Linked DNA regions of Ovis aries. The protein of the gene in region 3 purifies or fractionates together with the protein of the main gene of each other region. This does not show direct contact. Links are inferred from orthologs where the notes say so. Each region holds a gene or a part of one and is shown on either strand. Other genes may lie near its edges.

Region 1 (4,721 bases), about 850 kb from region 3:
ATTTAAGGAGAACTCACTCCTCCTTTAATCCAACCACAAATCAAGTATGAGTTATTCCGTGTAAAATGAATCACACAACCCCACATCTGTGTCACTGATAAAGGAAAGATAAGAAGCAGCTTTCGAATAAAGGGTAAGAAATGAATGGGAAATGTGCAGGTGACTCTCATACTAAGTAATGTAGTTACAGAAGGAGGCAAGGCTGCCTGTATGAGCCAGAACATTAGTGATGGTGTCCCGCCCACACCAAGCACATGAGGTCAGGGACCTGCCAGGTTCTGAGGATACAGAGTGGAAAAAGGCAAAGTTCTCCAATTCCCAGGGCTTAATTTAGTGCTGAAGACCTCCAAGCAAAGTAACTTTCTTAAAACAAGGCTGTGCTAATTACAGTTTCAGATGTAGTTAAGACAGAGTTCAAGAAACTGATAAAGAAGCAGTAAGAAGGAACGATCCCAAGTCTAGAGAACAAACCTCTTTTCTTGCATCTTCCAGACTGGCGTCAGGACAAATGACAACATCTCGGCTACACTGTACCGGGTCTTTTCCAGCCAGACCTGCGACGGTGACCTTAATCTAAGAGAAAGACGTCATCATGATATTTAAGAACACTGAACATAAATTTAGAGTAACATTTTCACAGCTGGCCTGTGTTTTAAAATAACCTGGCAAGAAATACTGCAACAAAACCATGCTGACTTTAGGTTATTAAGTTGGCTAAATATTATTTAACCACTAGATCTGTCCCAGTTTGTCTGACAGTATGAATTAAAGATGCTGTCCCAGTACCCCATCTGCTTAGCCTCCTTTCTTCCACAAGTGTTCTTGTCTGTGTGATAAATCATATGATCATCCTACCGATAAAACAGCTTGCAAAGTTGCTGTTGCCATTTAACCCTCCTGGTATTTTCATAAGGTAGAAATGCAAGTTAAGACAATGAAATACTACTCTGCTGCCCTGCAAAAATTCACAAAGTTGACAATACTGAGAATAGGAATTTTCCTCACTGCTGGTGGGCCCACATATCAGTACTTTGGAGAGTCACTTGACAAAATCTAGTAACATCATATATGCAAGTAGTAATTCCTTTTAGGCTCAGAGCCTAGAAAAACTTTCATATCTTTAAACAAGAAAAACCTGCACAAGAATATTACAAATGTTCAGCTATAAGATAAGTAAGCATTAGAAACTAATGTACAACAGGATAGGTACAATTAATACTGTTGTGTGTAATATGCAAAAGTTTTTAAGAGTAATTCCTAAGAGTTCTCATCATAGGAAAAAATATTTTTCTTCTACTTCTTTACTTTCGTATTGATACAAGATGACGGATATTCACTAAACTTATTGTGGTCATCATTTCATGATAGATTTAAGTATGCTGTACACCTTAAACTTACACAATGCTATATGTTGATTATATCTCAATAAAACCAGAACGACCAAAAAAAAAAAAAAAGAGTATTACAGCACTATAATGCTGTAAAACAATGCAATAGAGGAATGGAGACTGGGCATATTCCCATAGTGCAATACTAAGCAGCAATTTTAAATAAACTGCATCTATATTCTTTACTAGAATGTGACTAGTTCACTTATTTAAATATTTGATTCACTGACTGACTGCTTCTCCGCCTGTTTCTTCAACTGTAACATGAGGTTGGCAATAACTCTTAGGATGGTTTTAAGGTTTTAAAAACTAGTATAAGTGCTTAGAATGGCATCCACCATTCCGTCAAGGCTACGTAAGCATTCACTATGGTTATGTGGGCGTATAAAGGTTCATAATGCGGATATGCAGAGTGAGAACCACAGTCTAATGTTACTTTAGACACGCTTGGGCTGGATTCACATCACTGTGAGGAAAGCAGTTATTTCTGGGGCCAGAAAGGGAATTGAATTAGGGAAATAAAGAGAGCTTTGCAATGTTTATTCCTCTAAAGCATCTGTATCTTCAAGAAACAGGTCTGAAAGAAATACAGTAAAATGTTAACAATATTAAACTGCAGATAATTATTACACAGCCTCTGTACTGTTGCGTATGTTTGAAATATTTCAGAAAGTACATTCAACACTACTTTATCCAAAATTACTTATAAGAATCCAAAAATGCTTTCAAACAGAGGAGGGCTAAAAAACTTTGAGGGACTTACTCCAGCTCGTCTCATGACATCTACAGGGATAACTGTCTCCATTTCCTCGGCTCCTTTAGCCAGGATGACCAGAGCTCTTTTTGAAGCCATTTTTATGTTGTATTTATTAAAGACTCAAAACAAGATTTTCAAGAAACTTTCACTGCAAGTGTACAAGACCTAAAAACAAGATTAAGGAACACTGTTAAGCAGAGTAACCAAGTGCTTCCCAGGGAAAAGATTTTGATAGGCAAACACAATAAAACAGCATTATTTGGTTAATACTGACTTAAACAGAATTTCAGTTCCTGTTTTTTGAGATGACATCACAGCAAGATTGCCAGCACGTTGGTTACTGTTCAGATTTCATCACGTTTATAAAAATCTAATTTCTAATATATTGTAAATGAAGCTTTCCAAGAGGGAGAGAGAAATACAAAACCACCTTTTTTCAAGTACTATTTTACAGAGAAGACTGAACTTCATGGATAAAAAAAGAAATACTGTCTTTAGCAATCACCCCGAGATTTTTGGAGGGGATTTTATTTTTTAGTTCCAGTAACTGCACTTAATTCTCGGGGGCGGTTAACAGTGTTACATATTTGAACACGCTTAAAAAAAAAGAAAAACGGAGAAAAATGGTAATTCCCCCATGCTACACTCAATCCTGATAGATTCTTCGCACTTAGCTCTCGTTGTAAACGACGGCCGCTATGCCGGGGTCTGAATTGCTGTTAGCCTATTTTTCTGGACTTTGTTTCGCATGCAACACAGATTTTAGTAAACGATGTCAAAAAAACAAGATTAACTAGCTCCAAGCTGGTGCGATGTTATGCAGGCAAATTCTAGAAGCTTCAGCGTTGCTACTATGCTGGCGAGCGAACGGCGCCCTCTGCGAACCCTGGGAGACCGCATCCTCCTCAGACGCGGCTAGACACAGGCCGGGTCCGCCCCGGTTCGGGGACCCTCTAGGGGTCCAGCGGGCGGCCCGTGCCCCCACGGCCCGAGCTTGCGCTGCGCTCCCCATGGCCCAGACCTGAACCTCGCCTCTCTTCCCACAGACGGCCAGCCTCGGCCCGTTCCGTCCGCAGTTCTGCGCCGGTGACGACTGGGCCGGTACCGCACCAACCCGGGACGCAGCAAGCGCGCACGCCGGCACGCACGCGCGCTGTCAGGCTTGGTCTTCAGCCCCGCACTGCGCAGGCGCGCGCCGCCCTGCCTGGCTCCTCAGCCCCGCACTGCGCAAACCCACGTAGCTCGCCCCACGTGATGTCATATCCGGCCGAACTAACCTCGGGGGACGTGCGGTACCTCCTGCCTTTCTGCGTGTAGATTGTACGCCTAGGCCTGGTTCCATTTGGAACAAGAGAAAGCGGAATCTTCTAAACTCACGCATTCTCCCGAAATCTCCCGCATCCGAGGGACGGCCCAGCGTGCCCCCAGCGCGCGCTGAATTTAACCCGTTTTTCATGCCGCAAGCCAGACGTTTTTCGCTGTGCTCGTCTGGAGAGCTGCGTGGGCTTGCTTTAAACCCGCATTTTCACAAAATAAAATAGTTCCTTCTTGCTTCCTCTGTGTCCTAGGGGCTTTCTTTGCATTGTTCTGTTTCTTGGCGGGCGTTGTCCAGTCACCTCCGCTCTGTTATGACTCCTTAAGGTCTCCCCAATTCCTCTGTGACTGATTTGGCTAGTGGCTAATTTCACGTGTATTTGGTTCTCAAAATAGTATTTTTAGTAGAGTTTAATACTGCATCGACAGGATTTGAATAGGAGCTGAACACCGAAGTCAGGGACACTAGATTGGGTTTCAGACCACAGTTTTTTTGGTTTTCTAGTGCATCATGAAAGTTATAGAAAGTGAAAGTGAAGTCGCTCTGTCGTGTCCGACTCTGCGACCCCATGGACTGTAGCCCACCAGGCTCCTCCATCCATGGGATTCTCCAGGCAAGAATACTGGAGTGGGTTTCTCCAGGGATGAAAGTTATATGTAGCCTGTTAAAGTATGCAATAGGATTATGTCTTAATAACAGTATATGCTTTATTTTAAAAGTATTCCTTAAAAAATGCTAGCCATCAACTGAGCTGGTGAGTCCTATCTTTTTCCTGATGAAGAGTTTTGCTGGTGGAACCTGGGATATTGATGACTGACAGTATAGGGTGATGCTTGCTGAAGGTTGGGGGTGGCCGTGGCAGTTTCTTAATAAAATTTGTTACGCGGCTCTTTCGTGAAGTGATAAGGCCCACATTGCTGGTGGGGGTGGGGGTCTCATTGTTAACATGGCTCATTGTGTTGCCCTCACAAACAAAGAATAAAATCACAGTGATCCTTGAGACTGACCAAATTGCCCAAATAACATTCTGGTTTAAGACCACCAGATTCCAGACCTCCAGCTACGTGACTCCAGGACTCAACTACAGGCTAAAAGTTAACCATCCCTTCAGAAAATTTTTCATTGGTGGCGTATAAGAAAGACCCCATCAGAAAGGGAGGACAATGGTTCTCCTCAAGGGCCAGTCTACCTCTCATTTCCCTCTAATAAATTTCTCTTTTCTTGCCTGAATGCTTGGTTCGCTCTCTTTTTCTCTGCATTC
Region 2 (4,722 bases), on a different chromosome or scaffold from region 3:
CGGGGACAGACTGCCCAGCATGAGGAACGGGGCTGAGGGATGGACGCCTCCCTGCTCGGTACCCCTTTTCTTTTCGTCCCCAGCAGCAGGGAAGAAGCTAGAGGCCAGGAGAGAATGGCTAGGCAAAGCGTGGGGTGGGGGGGCTCCGGGGAGACCTTGGGAATGGAGTCGGAGGGGGCTGGAGGGGCCGGCCGCCTGTCTGTGAGGAGACTGTTGCTTCCCTGCCCTTGACCCCACAGTGCTCTGCTTCTCTGTGATCCCGCCTGCCCGGTGTGGAGCGGGCTTGTTCGTGTGTGTGCGTGGGTGTGGGTGGGCGTGTGTGTGTGTGTGTGTGTGGCGTGGGTGTAGCTTTGTGCCGCCTCCTCCACCAAGGGGGTTTCTGTGCCTCCCCTGCCCCTTTGTGTGTGCTCCCCGTGTGGCGGGGCCAGGAGGGATGTGAGGGAAATGGGAGCCAGCCCCCCTCGCCCTCCCGCCTCAGTCTTTGCCCCACCCTGTCTCTCCCTGTCCTACTCTGGAAAATGCCAAAATACAGGATGTGAATAAAAGTACAGTGGCTCAAGCGTGTCCTGTTTGATATCTCGGGGGAGACTGTCTTTCCTGGGTTAGCAGGAGGGTCAGGTTTTGAGAACTGCGGGCCCTGCTCCTCCATGCCACTCTGCGCCCCCTGCCTGCCCCCCTGGTAGGCAGTTCTATACTTTTTACTGCTCTTGGGAAATTGGGGGCTGAGTGAGGTGCTCACAGGGGCAGGAGGGGGAGCCTGAGGGGTGGGGGCTGTCAGATGCAGGGACATGGAGGAGGGCCACGTGAGAGGGGGCCCAAGTGGGTTCTTCTCGAGTGTCCCCAGGTGCCCAGTGGGGAGCCCTGGGCACCAGGCCTTGCAGTCCCTTGTCTGGCCCTGGCCGCTGGAGCAAAAAGTGAGGTACTCCTAGGGGCAAGGCAGACCTCTGAACTGCCTCTTTAGTCGCTGCGCGGTGTCCAGCCCACGTGGGTCGTCCCTCCGCCTGTGAACCCTGTTACTTGCCCAGTTAACTGTGGGGCTGGGCCGGCCCTGGGTAGGTCAAAGGTGCCTGCTCAGCAGTCAGGGATGTGGCCGCTCCGATGGGGGCAGGGGGGGGTTCCTTCTCCCGGAGTTGGAAAGATGCCCCTCACGGCTCTGAGGCCAAGCCTTGGAGTGGAGTGGAGTGTCCAGGCCTTCAGCCAGCCAGCGAGCGCCCCTGGGGATCCTTCTAGCCCTCTGCGGGGTGGGGGGCTGAAACCGTGAAGCGGGGGTTCTGAGCGCGGGGCGCACAGTTCGCGCCTTCTCCCCAAAGTAAGGCAATTCAAGCTGAAAGCGACCCAAGCGAGCCCGCGACGGCCGTGGAACGTTGCTACAAGAAAGGGGGTAACGTCAGAACCTCGCAACGCCGGCGGCGGGCGGGATCCGGGGCAGGGCTGCGGCGGGCGGCGGGCGGGGCCGGGGGCAGGGCTCCCGCGGACCGGGCCAGCCATGGACGAGGACGCAGAGGGGGCGGGTTTCTGCATCTCCGCGCTCTATATAAGCGGCCAGTGGAAGCGGGGGCGCGCTGCTCCTGACCTTCAGCGTGCCTGCTCCTTAGCCATGGCGCCCTCCAGGAAGTTCTTCGTTGGGGGGAACTGGAAGATGAACGGGAGGAAGAACAATCTGGGGGAACTCATCAACACTCTGAACGCGGCCAAGGTGCCGGCCGACACCGGTGAGCCCTGGCCGGGGAGGACTGGGGTGGGCAGTCGGGCGTGGTCGCCCTCTCCGGAACTCTCTTAGCCCGGGTCCGCGTGGCCCTGCGTGCAGGGCTGGGGTCCAGGACTGTCGGGATCTGGGCCTGAGCTCCGCGGCCGCTGAAGCGGGGGTGTTTCGGCGGGGAAAGGCGGGGCCGCATCTCACGGTGCCCTCTGGCTGTGGGTCCTGGGGAGGAGGGTGGCCCCGGGGCGCAGACGGGGCCTGCACCGGCTGGGACTGAAAGGTGAGCCCAGCCCCTGCGGGCGATCGGGAGAGGCCAGCGGCTGCCCGGTGCGTGGGGGTGGAGGCTGCCTGACGGCTCCGGCTGCCCCCTGGGCGCGGGCTCCGTGCGCCGCCGCACGTAGCCCGCCGGAGACTCCTCCCCGCGCCTTGCCGGGTCGGCAGAGTTCCCCTACCGAGCCGCGTCAGCCTCCTGAGCTATCGCTCCGATTCAGCCCGCTCGGCGGCCTGTAGGACTCCGGCCTTCCGTGGAAAGGGGTAGAGCCATTTGGGAATGAGGCGCGCTCCTACCGTTATCTCCAGCCTAAAAACGGGAAAGCGCAAGGCCTCTAGGAGCTGGTCGACTCGCTGCTACCCACGGCCTGCGTCCTTGTCCCCTCACCCACCTAAGTCACAGAACCTCGGGGCTGATCAAGAGGCATCCCCTTGTGGTTTATTCTCCCAAAGACCTTAGTAAAAACCCCAGGAGTTGGCTCCTTCTGCTTTTGCTGAAAATCCTGGCCTGGCCTGGGGGAGGTGGGGATGGGCTATTTTAGAAGGGAGGCGGGGTTGGCCCCCAGAGAATGCTGAGTCTAAGAGGTGCCCAGGCCCAGAATAGCCTGGGGAAATCAGAGCCACAGCTGCTAAAGAGCAGAGGGCAGGGCAAGGGCCATGGCCTCTCAGGGCTACCTGGGAGGCTCAAAGACTTGGGTACAGGCCCAGCCTGGGCTGCAAAGTGGACAGAGATGATCGTGCTGGGGTGAAAAAGCGCAAAAGCAGAACTAAGAAAGTGGTGAAGGCGAAGGGACTCTGGAGCACGGGATGGGGTCTGGTGAATGAAGATTTCCTTGTGATCTCATCCTGTCTGTCACCATCTCATCCTCAGAGGTAGTTTGCGCACCCCCCACCGCCTACATTGACTTCGCTCGGCAGAAGCTAGATCCCAAGATTGCCGTGGCTGCGCAGAACTGTTACAAAGTGGCCAATGGGGCCTTTACAGGGGAGATCAGGTAAGATGCTAGTGGCAGAGGGGTGGGAGGGGGACCCCCAGCCCTCACTGTCCTTATGGAGGGGACAGCGACAGGGTGGGCTCCTTGCTGAACCACGGCTTTTCTCTTCCTTTAGCCCTGGCATGATCAAAGATCTTGGAGCCACGTGGGTAGTCCTGGGGCACTCTGAGAGAAGGCATGTCTTTGGGGAGTCAGATGAGGTTAGTAACGGGGGAGGGGGGAGGAGATGAGGGCTGGCTTGTTCCTAGACGGGTGCTCACCAAGTCTGTTCCTCAACAGCTGATTGGGCAGAAAGTGGCCCATGCCCTGGCAGAGGGACTTGGAGTGATCGCCTGCATTGGGGAGAAGTTAGATGAGAGGGAAGCTGGCATCACTGAGAAGGTCGTTTTCGAGCAAACCAAGGTCATCGCAGGTATCTCTGGAGAAAGGGGCCTTTGAGCCCAGGGCTATGAGACGCAGAGGGTGGGGTCGGATGCCCTGCAGCCTGAGCCTGTCTGGTGCTGATGCAGGAAAGGGGAGGGTGGGAATCCTGTATCCTTCCTATTACTTCTACTCCTGCCTCTAATGTCACTTTCCCATAGTAGCCACCAGGGGGCAGTAGGCCACCAGCACTCTTATTCTCTAGGAAACAACTGGTTATGTTCTTCCTTGTTTTCACCCTGCCACCTGTGATCTCTGTCCCACAGATAACGTGAAGGATTGGAGCAAGGTTGTCTTGGCCTATGAGCCTGTGTGGGCCATTGGTACTGGCAAGACGGCGACACCCCAACAGGTAACCAAGCCCAGGAGCCCTGTCCTCATCCTCCCCTGTCTTGATAGAACTGGATGGCCACAGCGACCACCTGGGCCAACCCATTTAAAAGACAGGAGAGGGACTTCCCTGGAGGTTAAGCCTCCGCTGCAGGGGGCACTGGTTTGACCCTAGTCAGGGAACTAAGATCTCGAATGCTACATGTCAATCCTGCATGCTACACGTGAAGACTAAATAAATAATAAAAGGAGAAAAGAGAGTTACTTGTCCCAGGATACTCATTCCAGGGCCTGGGTGGGATCGAAGCCCCAGGGTTCTTGCCTGCAAACCACATTGCCTGTCTCCACTGGAGCCCAGTGTTTTTTCCCCAGTGAATGGAGGTCTTAGTCTGACTTCTTGTTCTAGGCCCAGGAAGTACACGAAAAGCTCCGGGGATGGCTTAAGTCCAACGTCTCTGATGCAGTGGCTCAGAGCGCCCGCATCATTTATGGGGGTAAGTGGGTTTGGCTCCAGCCTGAGGTGGGGTGGGCTGAGAACCAGACCGAGCCCTCCTTCAACCTGGAGGCCGGCGTGGAGTACCCCCATCTCATCGCTGACCAGTCCTGCTCTTGTCTCCCTTCCCAGGTTCTGTGACGGGGGCAACCTGCAAGGAGCTGGCAAGCCAGCCTGATGTGGATGGCTTCCTTGTGGGCGGTGCTTCCCTCAAGCCTGAGTTCGTCGACATCATCAATGCCAAACAATAAGCCCTGTCCATCTCCGTTACCCTTCCTGCCGAGCCAGGGACTAGGTAGCTCAGAAGCCCAGTAACTGTACTGCCCCCCGACCTCCACACACGCTTCTTGTGGTGTCGCCTGACCCCTCTCGTGGCCGAATCCAGTGCACCTCTTCGTTTACCGTTCACACCCTACCTTGTTGTGGTTGGGACCAGAACCATCCCGCCTCCACTTACTGTACCCGTTGGAACTAAACCTGTCACCAAGGTGGCTTCTTCTTGGCTGAAAGGTGGG
Region 3 (4,115 bases):
CTTGTTGTGACCAAATAAGTAGGTACGGTGTGATAGGATGGATCTTCCTTGAAAAGGAAAGAGATTAAGGCAATGGCAGCCAACTCCAGTACTCTTGTCTGGAAAATCCCATGGAGGGAGAGCCTGGTAGGCTGCAGTCCATGGGGTCGCTAAGAGTCGGACACAACTGAGCAACTTCACTTTCACTTTTCACTTTATGCATTGGAGAAGGACATGGCAACCCACTCCAATATTCTTGCCTGGAGAATCCCAGGGACACAGGAGCCTGGTGGGCTGCCATCTATGGGGTCACACAGAGTTGGACATGACTGAAGCGACTTAGCAGCAAGGGTATATGTAGCGCTCTATGTTGGGACATTCCAGAGGCTGGTATTTTTACCTGGCTCTAAGTCCACATAGGAAGAATTTGCCCACATTTGAAAAGGATAGAATGGGACCCCCTTAAAATATCCCCTCCTTAATCTTTTTTTAATTTAAGAAAATCTGGTGCTTCCCTACCCCTTGTGTTACCTCTAGCAACATCTCAGCCATTTTCTGAATGGCCCAAGTGCGTGAAGTTGGAAAGGGAGCTTCAGGCAGAGAGGCACCGAGTGGTGCCGAGCACAGACCTGCCAGTCAGAGCTGAGTCATGGTCTGAATCACAGGCCTGGCAGAGGAACCTCCAGCCCATCCCTTCCTGTCCTGCCTTCCCCCTTGCCCAGAAAGTGAAGGCCCCTCAAGTGTAGATTCATCCAGCAGAAGTCTACCTGTGGTTACGGTGGGGGTTGCCATGAGAACACCATTGCTTCTGGGCATGTGCCTTGTGGATTCTCCAAAGATTGCAAGAATTTCCTTTCAGTTTATGAGAATGGCTCACTTAGAGAGTGGAACTTTCCACTTGGAAATTAATGGACTTTGAACAACGAAAAAAGACCCAGGATGCTAGAAGATTGTTGAAAAGGAGGCATTTTCTTTGAAATTCTTTAAAATGACTAAAATTAATGTCTTTTAACATTTAAATGAATGGAACTTTCTCTTATGTGTCTTAATCCTTTTCAGAAAGAAAAAAAAAGCCAGGAAATCATAAATTTGTTAAGAACCTTTCATCACTTCTTTCTTTCTTAGAATTTATTTTTTAGGCCAGTTTTAGGTTCACAGCAAAATCAAGTGGAAAGTAGAGTGTTCTCATCTATCCCCCATCCCCACCATCAACACTCTAAGCTGAGCAGTAGTTAGAGTCAAACCTGCATTGATACGTTAACACCCAAAATCCATAGTTGACCTTCTTCGCCTAGACTAACCTTTGTTAGAGTCAAGCCTGTATTGACTTGTTATCAGCCAAAGTCCATAGCTGACCTTAGAGTCACTCTTACTTCCATCGCGTCTTCACCTCATCCAGAGCTGATGGATACAGAGAAAGCCAGGGGCTGGATACAAAGAACATGTGGCCTGCTGCTCACATAGTCGTGTGGTGACCCAAGCATGTAACCAAGTGTTACTGAGATACTTGGTTGGTTTTTTCCTCTTGAGTTGCCCTCACATCCCTGCACTCGCCAGTTCTCAGAGGGGAAATCCCTGATAGTTTCAAGAAGGCTGCCTGCACTTCCTGCTCCCCTAACCCTGTCTGCCCCATGTAACCGGATCTCTGCAGTACCTTTCCTGACCCCGTCTGTCCTCCAAGGACAGCTGCCACTTTCTGCTCCATAGTCTAGGCTTAGCCAGGCGGCCGGTTTCTGTATCTGCGGGACTGTGATTGGGTTCTAGTGTCATTAACTCTGCGCCTTTGTTGTCCTTATTCCTTTTCTCTTCCAGCCTGTCCTGTTAGGCAGAGAACCTCCAAATAGCATTCACTGCTGCCTGAGCAGAGGCACATGAGCTGTAGAGATTCCTCTTGAGCCATCGCCTTCCAAACTTGAAAGCTAGCAACGTGATCTCAGTTGTCTAAGGGAAGCTTAGCAACAGTGCTCTCTAGCAGGACTGTCTAAAATAGCTTGGTGTTTCCATGGGTTACTAGCTCCTAGAACATGACAAATCCCGCAAGTGGATTCATGGTGCTTCTGTTGGACTGTGTGGCTGGGTGTGGTCCATGGGCCAGCGGCAGGGCACCACCTGGGAGGTTTCAGAGATGCAGACTCAAATGTCCTGTCATGCCTCAGGAGCTGCATTTTAACCCACAGGTGCTGTGTGCGCATGTTAAAACTGGAGAAGCTCTGCTCCGGACCTTTCTCTTTAAACTAGAGAGATTCATCAGCTCTGCTGTAGGGTCTTCGGTATAAAGTCATAAAACCACGGGAGGCAGGAGGAACAGCCATCTGAGTCTCCCCGATGTTGGGAGGAAGTGACCATTTCCGGAGGGCCGATGCCCTCTGTGCCGGGAGGGATCTGGGAGCTATTGCCTAATCATTAGTAAACATTTTCCCCCTTCCCTTTCTCAACATCCAGGTCTCTTCAGAGCTGCTGTGCCCAGTGGTGCCTCAACTGGAATCTATGAGGCCCTGGAGCTCCGAGACAATGATAAGACGCGCTACATGGGGAAAGGTGAGCACAGACCCAGGCCAGCTCGGCGCTGGCTGATGGATGCCAGGGCCCCTGAGCCTGTAACCCAGGGCAGGCAAAAAGTTTCACTCTTCTTTCTCCTGCGATTTGTCTCCAGTCGTGAAGAACTCCTGGTTGGGCCAGGGAACGAGGGAGAAGAAGACACGTTAGCTAGTGCTCAGGAGAAGCCTCTCATCCTCCAGGAGGGCTCTGAGGGCCTTCCCAGCCGGCGGGCCTCTTCCCGAGGTGTGGTCTCAGGGGTTGGAGGCTGCCGACTCGTGATGGATAGAGCAGTCGTTGTCTCTCTAACAGAGCCGGCCTCTGGTGGTCCTGTGCCCATGTTCACCTTTCTGCAGATAGAACCCCAAACCCCAGAGGCCAGGTCGCAGAAAGGCAGATGGGGCTGGACTGCATTCTCCACGGAGTGGTGTCACCCCAGGGATGGGAATCGGTTCTGGAGAGAAGGCAGGAGCACAGGCTGTGTCATGGGTCGTGGCCCTCCCAAGGGCCACCCTGTAAGGAGGTGGAGGGCACGAGTGGGCTGCCAACTTTCCAGGGGAGGGAGCGGAGGAAAATAGTCTAGGGACACTGCATTGGAAGGGCAACAGCGAACGAGGTCAGGTTGAGGGGGACACAGGGCCAGGGTCAGAGCGGCTCCACTGCAGGCGGCAGCGTCTGTAAAGAGCTCTCCTGAGGGGTCTCGCTGGCAGCCCAGGTAGACGCCTGCCCAGGGCAGGAGGACCACGCCCCACCCCAGTTATGATGAGGACGAATGCATGGTCCCCCCGCCTTCTCCACACCTTCCTGTTTCCTCTTTCTCTCACTCAGCGTCCTTCACAAACCTGTTCTCTTCTGAGTCTTTCTTTTTTCCTTCTCTGTCAATCTCTGCTGGTCAGGTGTCTCCAGACCCGTTAAGTATATTAACGAGTTCCTGGCACCAGCCTTGTGCACACAGGTAATACACGGGGCGTCCTTTAGCCTCTGCGGCTGGCCTGTCCCGTGCATGCTCTTGCCAACTAACCTCCCTTCAGACACTGTTTGGCGGCTCTGTGTGTGGCTCTAACTCCTGGGGGTCCTAGGTAAGAGCACTCAGACTGGGCCAGAAAGCCCTCCGATTCCAGGGGGAGAGAGCCAGGGGTCCCGTTGAAGGTCTCTGGTGGGCTCTGAATATCTGGGTGAATATGGTGAGCGGTTCTCCAGCAGTGCTGCTCAAGCCTCTCTCATCAGCGTCGGTAATTTGATTTGATTATTCCTTCTAGGTGTCTCAAAGGCTGTTGAGCACATCAATAAAACTATTGCGCCTGCCCTGGTTAGCAAGGTAGGACCTGCCTCCTGATGACTAATGTATATTAATGCTATCAGAGCGCCGCCCAGTCCAGGCCGGGGGGCTTCCCTGTTTACAGAAGAGCTTATTCTGAGAGCTAAAGAAGCCGGTGGGCTTCCCTGCATGCGAATTTTGGCCTTTGCTGACCCGCCCTCTGCCTGCGTGGCCATGTCTAACAGAGCATGGAACTGGATCTGAGGGTCAGGAGGCTCCAAGAGCCTTGATGTTCCCCAGCAATGATCTTGACCTCTTGGGAGTTAAGATCAGATTTTAAGGG

The links. Proteins that work in one complex are often made in the same cells at the same time.
Region 1: the proteins of ENO1 (region 3) and PARK7 fractionate together in Homo sapiens (co-fractionation; 3 studies listed by BioGRID). This does not show direct contact. The link is inferred for Ovis aries from reciprocal best matches to the Homo sapiens genes ENO1 and PARK7.
Region 2: the proteins of ENO1 (region 3) and TPI1 fractionate together in Homo sapiens (co-fractionation; 4 studies listed by BioGRID, with this or other methods). This does not show direct contact. The link is inferred for Ovis aries from reciprocal best matches to the Homo sapiens genes ENO1 and TPI1.

What each region holds. Positions count from the first base shown.
Region 1 is NC_056065.1:44,773,815-44,778,535, forward strand, and holds the start of PARK7 (Parkinson disease protein 7), read right to left. Parts: upstream 3,241-4,721; 5' UTR 3,167-3,240; intron 2,311-3,166; 5' UTR 2,242-2,310; coding exon 2,152-2,241; intron 574-2,151; coding exon 472-573; intron 1-471. UniProt on the Homo sapiens protein: Multifunctional protein with controversial molecular function which plays an important role in cell protection against oxidative stress and cell death acting as oxidative stress sensor and redox-sensitive chaperone and protease.
Region 2 is NC_056056.1:209,419,453-209,424,174, reverse strand, and holds the start of TPI1 (triosephosphate isomerase), read left to right. Parts: upstream 1-1,482; 5' UTR 1,483-1,486; coding exon 1,487-1,712; intron 1,713-2,840; coding exon 2,841-2,964; intron 2,965-3,079; coding exon 3,080-3,164; intron 3,165-3,243; coding exon 3,244-3,376; intron 3,377-3,650; coding exon 3,651-3,736; intron 3,737-4,120; coding exon 4,121-4,208; intron 4,209-4,339; coding exon 4,340-4,458; 3' UTR 4,459-4,722. UniProt on the Homo sapiens protein: Triosephosphate isomerase is an extremely efficient metabolic enzyme that catalyzes the interconversion between dihydroxyacetone phosphate (DHAP) and D-glyceraldehyde-3-phosphate (G3P) in glycolysis and gluconeogenesis.
Region 3 is NC_056065.1:43,925,113-43,929,227, forward strand, and holds part of ENO1 (alpha-enolase), read left to right. Parts: intron 1-2,421; coding exon 2,422-2,517; intron 2,518-3,773; coding exon 3,774-3,832; intron 3,833-4,115. UniProt on the Homo sapiens protein: Glycolytic enzyme the catalyzes the conversion of 2-phosphoglycerate to phosphoenolpyruvate. In addition to glycolysis, involved in various processes such as growth control, hypoxia tolerance and allergic responses.